Linked DNA regions of Astyanax mexicanus. The protein of the gene in region 1 purifies or fractionates together with the protein of each later gene. This does not show direct contact. Links are inferred from orthologs where the notes say so. Each region holds a gene or a part of one and is shown in the gene's direction. Other genes may lie near its edges.

What was found.
Region 2: the proteins of obsl1a (region 1) and calcium/calmodulin-dependent protein kinase kinase 2 purify together in Homo sapiens (affinity purification with mass spectrometry; 4 studies listed by BioGRID and IntAct, with this or other methods). This does not show direct contact. The link is inferred for Astyanax mexicanus from reciprocal best matches to the Homo sapiens genes OBSL1 and CAMKK2.

The regions. Positions count from the first base shown.
Region 1 is NC_064412.1:56,530,235-56,537,648, reverse strand, and holds the start of obsl1a (obscurin-like protein 1a), read left to right. Parts: upstream 1-4,407; 5' UTR 4,408-4,837; intron 4,838-7,414. UniProt on the Homo sapiens protein: Core component of the 3M complex, a complex required to regulate microtubule dynamics and genome integrity. It is unclear how the 3M complex regulates microtubules, it could act by controlling the level of a microtubule stabilizer.
Region 2 is NC_064424.1:38,891,509-38,898,566, forward strand, and holds the start of calcium/calmodulin-dependent protein kinase kinase 2, read left to right. Parts: upstream 1-4,054; 5' UTR 4,055-4,295; intron 4,296-7,058. Other genes in the region: snrpd3l (small nuclear ribonucleoprotein D3 polypeptide, like), read left to right, coding at 1,016-1,083. UniProt on the Homo sapiens protein: Calcium/calmodulin-dependent protein kinase belonging to a proposed calcium-triggered signaling cascade involved in a number of cellular processes. Isoform 1, isoform 2 and isoform 3 phosphorylate CAMK1 and CAMK4. Isoform 3 phosphorylates CAMK1D.

The DNA.
Region 1 (7,414 bases):
ACAGTACAGAACGGTACACTGACTCAGGCATTCAGTACAGAACAGACTCCCCAGGGTCCTAAACGCCTCATTAAAAATTACCATCCACTGAACTGAGAACAGCGGCTTTAGCACAATGCTGCTAATTCCTTTCCTTTCGATGCATTGGAAACCCACACAAAATAAATTAAACTCCAAATAAATTAAGTTTGTTGTAAATAAAACTAAAATTAATATTGTTGTTTAATTCTATTATTCTAACTACGGACAACATTTCTCCCAAATTCCAAGTAAAAAATGAGAAATGGCTGAAATAACAAAAAGAGAGGCAGAGCTTTCAGACCTCAAATTATGCAAAGAAAACAAGTTCATATTCATAAAGTTTTAAGAGTTCAGAAATCAATCAATATTTGGTGGAATAATCCTGGATGGTTTTAATCACAGTTTTTTTCATGCATCTTGGCATCATGTTCTCCTCCACCAGTCTTACACACTGCTTTTGGATAACTTCATGCCTTCACTCCTGGTGCAGCTCATTATTTTAAACTGTCTTTTATTTTTTTTCAGAGCTGTATTTCCTGCTTTATATATATTTAGTCATTTCTTCAGTTTTCTTGTTTAAAATTTCCTTTAATGTAGAATTAACTCTGAGTTTAATATTATGCAAAACTCTTTGTCAACTTTTTTTTTGTATACTTCATATGTTTGTTTTTTTTTCACTTCATAAACACTTCAAATATCCAAAACATCATTTATTTGAATCATATGTTTCTATGAGCCGTTTGGATGGCTCCTCCCTAATTGTGATGTCACAATAAGAAAACAATGTTTAATACCTTAAATATATTTAACTTAGACTTTTTGTTTAACAACTTTAATTTGTTAATTTTATAGCACATAACCTGCATGTTAAGATACAGGTACAGAACATGTTTGACTGAACCTGATCAGCTCAATACAGCATTAAAGTGTGCGCTGGTTTTGAGGTTATATACTGATAAATATGCTGATGAGTCTCTGTTTTTCGTCTCGCTGTGGGATTATGGTAAAAACTGGATGGTGATATTCAGGGTCCGTGTCTCGACACGCCGGCAGCATCTGTGCTGTCAACAGTGCTTCTGCTGATACATTCCATCCTAATCCACGTCAAGATACCTTCTGGCCTCACCTGCAGCCCATAAATACAGAACACCGAGCAGAAAACTGCTGCAGCACCTGATACACATCACATACAGAGCACTATCAGATTATTAGATTATCATAGATTATCAATTCACATATAACACACATATTACAGAGCACTATCAGATTATTAGATTAGATCAATTCATATATTACTATTCTACATTAGGCTAAAGCTCATTTACTCCAGCAAATGTTTATTTTTCTGTTAAAATCCATTTACAATAGTGTACATATGAACAATAAACCCACTGTTACCAATAAATAAGCCATTCAAAGTGTTGGAATAAAATTAGTTTTTACTTATCTCAACTACATTTGAGTATACAAATAAAGTACATTTTTGCTGTGTTTATTTAAAGTTCCATAAACTTCATTGCTATCAAAAATGCCTCGATTCTGATTGGTCATAACTTATTGATTTTGTTTGTTTTACATTTTTAATTAGAATATTTAATTATTTTTATTTATCTTAGCTATTATTATATTTATTTGCTCATTTTTGATATATATTTTAGGAAACATTACATCATGTGAGATCTAGATTCCTTTAATCTAGATTAATCTCTCAGTGTGCTCTGAATTTATTACTATTCAAAACTCACTTTTTCTGTGCTTTTTCTTAAATTTTCATTTGGGTCTTAACTGCCCCTAGAAACACTCCTATCACCCAAAAAATCCACCCATTCCTTTTTTTGTGGATCACTTATAAGAGTTTGGAAAGTAAGAAGTTTTGTGCTTCCATTGCAGTTAAGCATAAACCAGCAACAGCAACAGATAATTTGCATAAAAGTGACAGAGCCCTTAAATGGCTCATTCTGAAAGAGACTTAAACTGGTAAGAATAGAGGAGGAGAGATCTCTTTTAAAAAATTAATGGAGGGACTTAAACATTTTATTAATTATGTGTTTATTTTTTTAAATAATAATACAAAAGTCATTATTCTTTGGCATCATGCAGATAACCCTCTACAGCACCATCCGTCCATGTGATGCGACTGATCTGCCAGCAGAGAGCACTGCTTTCACAGCACAGTCAACACTAAAGTGGACTATTTATTCAATATTATCTAATATATAAATATTCAGATATTTATTTTTACAGGATAATACGGTTGTATAATAATAATATGCTCAGTTTTTTTTAAAGGAAAGCTTAATTCATAAAGCTCTTTTCTGCATATTATTGCAAGATGCATTTGAGTGACATTTGCATTTTTCAGAGAATCAGTGCTGCTGAATTTATTAGAAGATTAGGAGATGAATTCTTGTTGACACTTGTAGAAACGCATAAAGAGTCCCACAGGAATCACATCAAACTGTTTAAGTCTTTTCATGAACAGCTTTAATTATCTATCTCAGGGATTCACAAATCTGGTGCCATTTGTGTTACACAATGTGTTACACTTATATATAGAACCAGTCAAAGGTTTGGATGCTTTTCTATTTTATTATATTTTCTACATAGTAAATGAATAGTGAAGTGATCTATCATACTATGAAGGAACACATAAGAAACCATGTAGTAACTTAAAAACAGTGTTAAACAAACCAAAATACTCTTGGTCCTGATGAGAGTGTCACATCTGGTGCTGTTAGCTCCTCTGTTTCTCACGCACCCAGCTCTGACAGAGGTTCTCAGTCTAACAACTACATTACCCAGAACGCACCACCCGCTGACACGCACACACCCAGTCACACGTCACCTCACCTGCTCCAACCAGGAAGCCCCGAATATTAGTCTGGCACTATTTAAGGACACCTCTCACACACTTCTGTGCCGGGTATTGTTGGATTTTCCTCATTACTAAGCGTTACTCTCTATTGTCTCTGTTATCTTCGTGTATGACCTTGTTTTGTTTTTTCTCGACGCCGATTTTTGGATTATCTCTGATTGTGGATATTTTTGTGTATGACCTGGACTGTTTCACGTTTTTCGATTTTGGATTACCTCTGATGTTGGCCTGCTTGTGTTTGAACTCTGGACTGTATCTCACTCATGGTATGGTTATCTCTACGTTGCTTCTGTTTACCGGTGCTCTAACTTTGTTTGTACGACTACCCTTTTTTCTGCCTGCTATTTTAATAAACAACCCGTTTTACTGCATCTGCGAGTGTCTGTATTCTGTGCACACCATGACAGAGAGCCAGTTCCATCATCATAACATTTTTGGTAGCCTTTCTTTGTGATAAAGTTCTGGAAATTCTTCTTTTTGGATTAACTGACCATTATTTTTCACTTAAAGTATTTTCTAAACTTTAGTTAAGTAGTTCTTGCTTCTCATAATCTGGATTAGAACATTTCGCTGTCTACCTCTTTTACATGTTTTTAACCCCTTTTTTATCTACAGGGGTTGGACAATGAAACTGAAACACATGTCATCATTTTAGTTTGAGATTTTAGGTTTCATGTCTAAATTGGTGCAGCCTGGTGTTCAATCTTCATTAATTGCACATTATTGCACCAGTAAGAGCAGAGTGTGAAGGTTCAATTAGCAGGGTAAGAGCACAGTTCTGCTCTAAATATTGCAATGCACACAACATTATGGGAGACATACCAGAGTTCAAAAGAGGACAAATTGTTGGTGCACGTCTTGCTGGAGCATCTGTGACCAAGACAGCAAGTCTTTGTGATGCATCAAGAGCCACGGTATCCAGGGTAATGTCAGCATACCACCAAGAAGCACCAACCACATCCAACAGGATTAACTGTGGATGCTGTAAGAGGAAGCTGTCTGAAAGGGATGTTCGGGTGCTAACGCAGAATTTAATGTTCACCTCAACTCTCCTGTTTCCACCAGAACTGTCCGTCACCACAATAAACTATTGTGCTCTAAAACCAGGTGTTTCAATTTCAATCTCCAACCCCTGTAATAATGGAGCAATTTAGGTGAAATTCATTCATTTTCTTCTCTGTTACAATAGCAGCAGCCAGAAAGACAGAAAGACAGAAAGACAGATGTACGACTGGCACACACATCAGCATTACTGAGTACTTCTGTCTGTATCACAGCGGAAGGACTGAAGTGATCTATCAGTCTAAGTTTAGCCTTCGCACTCCACCGAACCAAGGCTTGGACCTTATCTCTTGCACCCCACCAACCCCCAACCACCAACTTAACCCCCACCCCCACCCCCGGCCGGGTGGCTGGTGCAGGTATTTTTAGCTGGTGAGGCGGCAGCTGTGGAAGCATTTATTGGCCGTTAGCTGACAGTGACACCCAGGGTGCCCCGGGGCTGAGTGACGTTGTGCACGGTGTGAGAGATACAGCGCGAGAGGAGAGCCTGAGTAATACAGAGTGAAGCTCACGCACCATGCATTCACACGCCTGAGAGCTTCACAACCAGAGCTGAGAACATCTCTGAGGACTTTACACACAATATCCTGAATCCTGAGATACGGATTCATCTGCACTGGTGGATAAATCAAGGGAAAGCATCATCTCCAGCTCTGTGGAACACCATCTGCAGCTTCTGCTCCGGCATAATCTATCTCTACGTATCTCCAAACCACAGCAGGGGTCAGAGGTCGGCTCGATTAAAGATTTGAAGATTGGAGCAAGTTGACACTGGAGGTCAAAAACCTCTCAAGAGGCTCAAAACTCAAGAGGAAGTCCTGGGAAGGAGCGTTTTCTCAGTATTGGGTCTTGGAGACTCGAAGATCACAGTTATTACAGGTAGGTTTGCTTTATAATGGCCTCTCGAGAGAAGATTGCAAAGCAAAAAGTCATGTGTTGTTTTAACTTACTCTCACAGAGAAAGTAATTGATTTTAACTCTTTCTCAGGGTTTAAATACTGTAGCTCAACACTATTTGGAGTTAAATCAACACTTAGTTAGTTAGTTAGTTAGTTAAACATACATTGAACACCTTGTGAGAGTTCCTTTTTAACTCACATTTGTATTAGGGAGTTATTAATGGTTAATAACTAGGTTGTGAATACTTTATAGACCATTAGTAAATAGTTACAAAACATAAAATGTGTAATAGTGTAAAATAGTGTAAAATGTGTAATAATTACAATATATAAAACATTACAACATCATTAAGTCAACATTATATATATAAAGTCTGAGAAAATGTAATTTAAATATTATTTGAAATTTTACTTAACCATTAAAGTGATATTTGTTGGTGTCACTTTAAATGAGACTCCTTTATAAAGGGTTTTGTAATAATCTATGATGGAGTTAGAAAATATATAATAATAAAGAAAAAAAATTATAATTAACAGTGCAACATTACAACATTATTAAGTCAACATTTTATATATATATATATATATATATATATATATATATATATATATATATATATATATATATATATATATATATATATATATATATATATATATATTTATAAAGGGTTTTTAAAAAAATCTATGATGGAGTTTATTAATGGTTAATAATTAGGTTGTGAATTAAAAAAAAAATGTTGATATTACTTAACCATTAAAAAAGTTGTATTACTTTTTTATCATAAGTCCTGTTATTTGTGAGTCTTACTGTGAAATGTTACTAATTATTGCCATTTTAATTTTTTTTATATCACTTATATAATCATATGTTTATAGAATAGCATAATATTGTATTTTAAAGAACAATTATTTATTTATGTATTCTTTTTAAGTATATTTAAATGTTGGAATTATAATATATATATATATATATATATATATATATATATATATATATATATATATATATATATATATATATATATATATATATATATATATATAAAAGCTATTTTTAAACAGTTATGGTCTATATATATATATTATAACTAATGTGATAATTCATGTAACCGGGCTCTCCCAGCTTAGTAAATACAAACATTTGGCACAGTTGTGGTCAACTAAACTGATTGAGGTCATGACTATTTATTGTACCATAAGTTAATAATGCAAATACTGTGACCGTGACCATATTCTAATGCTAACATGCTTACTTTTTGAGATTATATGATTTTATTTATATTCACCATAGTTGGATTCTTTCTAGCGAACTTGACCAAGTTATGACTCATTTTATTTGAAGCACACTGAAGTTAAAAGACCATAAAAGAATCTTAATCCACAGCTGAGTCATTTCAATACTGAAGTTATTGCTAAAACAGAAAGGATGCGCTAATGACATGATGTTACAGTTATATCTGGATGAGCTGTTCATGTTATTGTGATGTGCTGTAATGTTATGAATCAGTGTCGCTGCAGTTCTGTGATGTTTTTCGGGGCTTTTGTTTTGTCCTCCACACGGCCGGACCACTTATCTCCTCATCTTTATTTGGACGACCTATTTTAAATACTTCCTCTTGATAAACAGCACCAGCTGCTGAGGCTGAGGAGGAGCAGCACAGGGGTTTCTTAGACCGACTGTTAAATATTTGCTTTATGAGAGACTCTTTCAAAGAGATACAGTGCTGTAAAAACGTATTTTTATTTTGACATATACAGATTTATTTTGTTTAGCTTTTTTTATCATACTCACATTTTTCAGATTGATAAACAGACTTTAATATCGGAGGCATTAAAGCAGTTTTTGAATGATAGTTTCATTTATTAAGGAATCAAAGCTATTCAATTCAATCTAGACCTTTGTGAAAAAGTGATCCTAATAATAATAACAACTTGTTATATTAAAATAATACAAGAATTTTATCAGATTTGTAACAGAAGTCAATGATCCAGAATGATCAGTCATGACACTTATAATAATAATAATGCACTATAAATATCTCTATATATCCAGGATTAAAGTAAAAAAACAGAAATGAGAACAGTGTGAATTTTTTTTTTTTTTGCTAAAAACAGTAAAAAAGTAGTACCCTGATGGGTGATATGGCACCATTTTTCATGGTATAATATTATTTTTTGTATATAGTATTAAATTTATGTTTTTAATGTATTATTTCTATTTATTTATTGATTTATATTTTTAATAGTGTGGAATGTAGAGAAGATCAAAAAGGATAGATTCATTTCAGTAAGGAGATTTAAAGCATTTTTAAAGCCTGGAATTGGATATTTTAGAGTATAATAGTTTAGAGTACAATGTTTTAATGCATTTTTATTTATTTATTTATTTTTAATTTTTATTTTTTTGCTAAAACTGTAAAAAAAAAAAAGTAGTACCCTGATGTGATAATTAGGGGTATATATGGCACCATGTTTCAGGGTATAATATTGTTTTTTTGTATATAGTATTAAATTGTGATTTTAATGATTTGATGTATTTTTATTTATTTTATGA
Region 2 (7,058 bases), on another chromosome or scaffold:
ATTCAGACAGCAAGGCTTTAAGCTTTGTTCTGTCAAGTGCAAAATTGCTTTTTGCATTTACTTCTGCCTACATATTTGTGTGCGTGACTAGTAATCTGTAGACGTTAAAGAAATTGAATGTGTAGATGATTTTAGCAGCATATGGGTGTGGTAGTTAAAAGCTCTGACTGATCATGCACGGTTAGTGGAAACCCTAGGGAAAGTGAATGAAACTGAGTGTTTTGGTAATCCTTCAGTATCTAAGATTTGATTGTTACAGGTGTGTGGATGGGTGGGTTTGTGTGTGGGTTTTTTTTGTGGTCTATTTATACCCCTTAACAGACTCCTTTGGTCCTGTTATATCCCTTAAAAGGATGATTAGTTGATATAAATCTCAGTTAGAAATATTTGTACTCCAGATTTCAGTTTTGCTTAATAGTTGATTAGTAACTGCAATCCAATTCTGGGGACAGAAGTGCAGGAGGGTTAAGGCTTCTTAGTCACTCAGTTAACACTAAGCTTGGACCACAAAAGGGACCAAACACAACAGATTATGAATTTTCTTACTCAATATCAGAACACCTCACGTTTAAACATTGGGCATTTAAAGAGCCTTTAAATGCCGCGGTCAGATGTTTCTGTTGCTCTGAAGCAGTAAAGAAAGTTGGGGACAGAAAACAGAGATGGTGATGTTTTCTGTCTTTTAACCACTAATGTGCTCTCTGTAGATTTGAGCCAAACAGTTCCTCCAGCTAGATGTTCATGAACTAGTTCTGTGAATGTTAATACACATGATTGAGCTGAAATATTTAACCTGTTTATTTTTTAATTAATTCGTTCTTTTACCAATTTTGGCTGCAAAATTATTACATCTTACATTTTAAATATGTACTAATTTTGTATTTTAATTTATATATAAATTAGTATTGACATAATGCAGTTGTTTCCTAGTAATAACCCATGAGTGACCCAGTGTTTGTTTTGTTTGTTTGTTTATTAATTAATTTATTTTTTCCTTCGTTTCTTAATCCTCTAGTGGCTGCAAGAGGTCGGGGCCGGGGCGGGCCGGGAGCAAGAGGAAACATTTTCCAGAAACGCCGGTAGTTCAGTTCCTAGTGGCTTCAGTCTGTACAGTTTTCTGTTCAACTTTTATGTTGAGTGCTTACTTGGATTGGTTACCATTGAATTCAAAGTGTTGTTTTTTTTTGTTTGTTTTTTTTTTTTTTAATTAGCTTGTTTTGATTCCACCCCCCTTTTTGTTTTTTGTTGTAATAAATGGAAGTCTTTACTTATACAACGAGGCTCATTTGGTTCATTTTAATAAGGTGTACCACCATTTTTTATGCTTGCAAATACTGTTATTATAATAGGTTGTGAAGTTCAGTTTTAGTCTTTATAGAATTAATATAAATTGTAATTTGATCACAATACTTTTTGTCTGCTGAGTCATGGCATCCCACTCTTCTTGAAGGGTGACCTTCAGGTCCTTGAGGTTTTAGGATAGAGTTTTGTTTTCTATGGGATTCAGGTCTGGAAAAATGGCAGGCCACTTCATTTAAGGTAAGTCTCCAGCAGCTGTTCCCTAATTATGCAACCTCCATGAGCTAGAGTGTGGATGTCCATGAAGGTGGAATTAGGCATGTGTTCATGCAGAGACACATTGACTGGATTGATGATGTAATTTGAGTAGTATTGGCGTTTCACCGAACCATTCACAAAGTGTAGGGCTCGTCTGGTAACTGCAGTGGGACTGATGCATAGTGTTCCCCATTGACCTCTCCAACATTTTTGGTGGCTGCCATTTCTTCTGTGTGAATAGATTTTAATCAGTGAACAGCCCTGGGGTGCCTCGCACCTACCTTACATGTGCCTGGAGTTGTGTGGCATGAATCATCTGGTTCCGCAGGGCACAGATCACAATGAAGTGGTCACCAGTGTAGGGTTTGACCAAATGACGTCCACTTCTATGCCTTTCTCTGACTTTCAGTCTTTCTGCATCACTGTTGCAACCTGCTGATGACACTTCCGTCTAAAAACATCCTGTTTCAAGCCTCGCAGTGGTGAGGTACGGTTGATCAATTGTTAGGTGTCTTCTTGGTCGCATGATGTCAATGTAAACAGCATGAAGACCAATGGAGACCAATCCAAATTTCCCAGTCGAAATAACTAGGCCTATGACTGTCACACATACTTGATCCAACATTTTTTTTAGATGTCAAGCGAAACATGAATAAAACCCTTTAACCTTACCTTTCTGCTGAAATGTTTCGTTAAGTTGAAACATGTTTGGTTGTATTGAACCTACTATGACTAGGCCAATGTGTCTCGTACATTTTAAAAATGTATTTATACAAGCTTTTTACAAAAATCAATGAGTGCTGCAATTCCTCATGACATGCTTGTAGTGTATGTTGCCTCTTATGTTACTATTTTTATGTACAGTATATAAAAAATATATAAAATGCTTGCTTTATATCTTTTTCATATTTTACATTAATGTGTCTTTAGAAATTTAACTGCCACTTGAACATGGTTTACAAAGGACATCTATGTTAAAATTAAATATGTACAAATACGAACCATTTTCTATTTTTTTTTTTTCAGGAAGCCCAGAACAGAGAGTTATGGCCGTTTAAAAATGAATGAAGGTTTAGGAGTATGGTTTATCATTCAGTTGAGCAGTAGAACCAACCAGAAACAATTTTAATTTAAATACTGAGTGAAAAGTCAAATAACAGTTTTTACATTTTAATATCAGCTACAAATTGTACAGCATTTCTAGCTTACTTTATGGACATAAATTTAGCTGGAGACTAAATAACTTTAAAACTCTTCCATTTGCCTTTTTATTCCATTTGACTATACTAATGGGCCATTCCACCAAATGGGTGCCATTTGCTTGGTGTAACTATTCAAAACATGTACTGGTATTTTTTTTTTTTTTACAAGGTTTCTAATCTGAAGATGATTTTTCTCTTTCCTGTTACCAAAACTTGACATTAAAAAAAACATTTTAAAAACAAATTCCTCCGTATACTGCATGTTTGAATAATTAATATTATAACAAAAAAACACTAATTGCATGCACTTCTAAAAGATGTGAAGTCTTTTGTAATTTTTTTATGAAGACCCAAACCAGAAATTGATCATTTTTTATCATGCAGTTTATTAAACAAATGGCAAAATGATGACCCAAGCAGAATTGGAAATGGCGGTTTACTGTACATTAACTAATGTTTACATTAATAAATCAATAACTAGGGGACTCTACTCAGTCCTTATACTGGCATTCACTTCTGTTACTGGCACACATTCCTGTTACTGGCACTCACTGAGTAACAGGAGTGAAAGTAATAGGACTGAGTTTAGCAAAAACATGAATGAAAAATTGTGCATGTCCATTTTGGTAGCATGCCTCAACTACTTTCTTTGATTGTGGCCAGCCTTGGTATAGTTTCATTAGCTACTTTTCCATCCTATAATATGTTTAAAAAGATGGGTCTAATATTGTGTAGATGCTAAATGTTGCTAAATCTTCAGGACTTGAACTGTTAGAATTTTTGCACCAGGAGTGTTATCCAAAAGAAAAAAAGTCCAAGACTGGTGGAGGAGGATATGCCAAGATGCATGAAAACTGTGTTTAAAAAAACTATTTTAATCCACCAAACATTGATTTCTGAACTCTTTATACTTTATGAAAGTTAATGTGTTTTATTTGCATTATTTAAGATCTAAAAGCTCTAAATGACAATTTTTGTTTTTTTGGAATTTGGGAGAAATGTCAGTAGTTTTACTAGAACATGTACCTATAAATAGCAACATCACTGAAACTGATTCAGAAACTGAAGTGGTCTCTTTTTTTCCAGAGCTGTATAATTGTGGCTCCAGCAGCGAAGGGTTAATATCCAAAAAGAGATTTCCCCTTTTAAGGCCGTGTGTGTTAAGATGAGGGGGGGGGACCCAGGTCCAGAAAGTAAAAATCCATCCCAGGGTTTTGTACCAACTGCCTGGGAGGCTCTGCTGCAGCTTGGCTCTACCCAGAGCCGCCCAAGCAGTTGGTACCAAACCCCGGGCTGGATTTTTTATTTCTGGACCTGGGATTTCCACCTCTAGTGTGTGGTGAGAGGCATGGCTGAGCTGCTGTTCTCTGAATCCGCCTGCACACAGTAGAGGATGCAGCAGCGGCCCCGCATCACAGCGGAGCTGCCCCGCCTGCCCACCGCAGCCACCCCGCAACGAATACCATTAAACCGGCTGATCGCACCGCGAAGAAGCTGCTTCTCCAGAGACCCTTAAGGACAGTTCGGACCGGCGCGGTGAGAATCAGCACTTATTACCGTGTTGTTTTCTGATCCTGAGTGTTTATTTGTGCCCTTCAGCTCCAGCGGGGGATTTCTACCCCAACATCTGTTTCATAAGAGCTTCCTCCGCTAGCCTAGCGCGCTTAGCAGAACCGAGGCGGATATAAATACTAACTGCGAGCCCAGCTGAGCTCTGAACTCTTATATCTCTCAATTTAAATAAATACAGTGCAGTCTTTCTCGGCTCCTTCTCTACATGTTTAAATCCACACCGAGCGTTTTAATTGATTTTTGCCTTTTTATCCCTAGCGCTGTTTTAGATGTCAGTATGTTAGTTAGCAAGCTGCTAGCTAACGGTATCTCTAGCTTTACTTCCAGAGCGGGGAAGTGTGCAGCCTGTACCCGATAACAGCGCCTCTGATAGCGGACCAGCGAGCGAGCGAGCTACCCTGTACCATAACTACCCATATTTCTGACAGTACAGATAGTTTTAATAAGCACCTGCGAGGAAATCTAACCAGAAAAGCAAATAACAAAAAAGCATCCCCATCTACCTCAGTTTTACCCCAAAACAACAAACCGACAGATATAACGCTCGCTATTAGAGAGAGAGAGAGAGTGGGGGAGCTGGTCTGTGAGGAATGTACAAGAACCCCTTCACCACAAACTGAATTGTAATGGTTGTTTTAGTTGTACAATCATTTCACTGGCGTGTATAGATGTTACAGGTGTACAGATAGTTTTGATGGACATCTGACACATGAGGTCCCCATTAATTATTATAGAGAGAAAGTGAAGGAGCTAGGTTGTGGAGCAGTCTGAACTGCAGAGCTCAAATCTGAGACATAAAAACATGTCCAAGTCTTAATTTGTGTGTTAGGCTGGAAAATCTATAGTTTTTAATGTGTATTCTTTTTTTTGTACAGGTTGTATTTCAGTCTGTAAGTCAGTAAATAGCTTTTATGTTATTTCTGTGAGGATAAGTGGGCAAGAAGACATTTCACCACAAATTGAATTGTAACAGATGTATAATACAGTGATTATTATGCTGATGTACTGATCCAAATTAATTACACTGGTGTGTTCAGGTTTTACAGGTGTACATTTTTGATGGCCATCTGACTGAAAAATTACCAAAAATAGCAAATAATATTTGTTAGAGAGGGAACGTGGAAGAGAGCTAGGCTGCTGTTGCTGCTGTATACAATACATATTTTTTTTTATTTGTGGACAGGTCTTTATATTTAAATGGAAAATATCCATTTGGGCTGATAATAGCTGTCTTTTCTGTCAGGAGGTAGATCAAATTGAATGATTTTAATTGTATTAAATTATAAAGAAAACACATAGATTCCTATTTCTGAGACTTATGCTTATGGAGAGTTGTGATGGGCACCTGACCTAAAAAGCACTTAAAAAGCAAATGACAATCCCCATTAACATAAATTCTACCCCAAACAACATTTCTAGCATTGGCAGCAGCCAAGTGGAGCTATGCTGTTATGCAGTCTGTTATTTAAATGCAAAATGTATATTTATATGTAAATATTTCATAAAAGATCACATGTCGGTCTCGAAATTTAGTTTTGCAAACTAAATGCTAATACAGATAAGCTTTTCCTGTGCTTTGTTCTGTATATTTTGTGTATTGTTATCTATGTGTACATTGTTTAGCTCTATGCCGTCATAATGGCGAGGAACAGTCATGTGACCACACACTATGATAAACAGCTGGCATCTGTACTAATAGAACATCTGCTTGGTTTTAAGGCAAGAGCAGCTCTGGTTTACAAATACTGTTTTAGCAGTGGGCAGATACAAAGTCTTAAATAGCAGGACAGTTCTTTAATAGCAGACACCATTTCAGAGACAGTGTTTGACCTTTTCACAGTAGCTACTATGACTAGTAGTTACAAATGAGAAATTAAAGGGAAGACCTACATAATCAATAATCATAATCAACTAGCCTCTTTTTTAAGCAGATTGACCACCCATACATTATAAAATGTCATTGTGCAAAATAGTGAAACAGTGAAATACTGAAATGGTGGGATATATGCTTGGCTGGATGGATAAATGGGGATACTGGCACTCATGTGGTCAAATCTGTCTTTTTTCATAAACTGAGATCAGGGTGTAAACAATGTAATATTAGACACAAATCCTAACTCTGCATTGTAGCCTCTGTAGTACACATTATTCTTGTGTGTAATGTAATTTGATCTGTCCTGTTATTGCAGCACTTAAGCGTGTGGAATGCATCACAATAACATGGCGATAAAAATTGGATTCCTAATTTACACCTCTATTTGTCTCTTATTCGTCTTCATTCAGAAATAATGTCTTACAATAATTGTTTAATTCAGCTCCACGCTGTAGGTAATGAATGCCGGGTAAACCAGACATAAATGCAGAAATTGTTGCCACTGCAAATCTTTTTCAGGGGCTGAATAATATGCACCTATTACAATATAAAGGGGCTTTCTCTGTGGCTACAGTGTTTAAACAGTTCCTGATTGGTGGAGCTTCTTTGTTAATGCCGATCTTTGGTACATAAGCCCAGCACACAGCTGAGTTCATATTTGGCAGCTTATATAGGCTGTGCACATAGAGCAGTGTCCCAGTGAATGCTGTGCAATCCATCAAAGATCAAAGTAGGTCACCCAGCGAAGGAACAGTCTTGAGATTAAAATAACTCAGCAGACCAGAGCTCTCTGTGCTTCAGCAACATCTTGGTCTTGGGCTTTTACATTTCTCCTCAAGTTCAGTAAAAGGGCA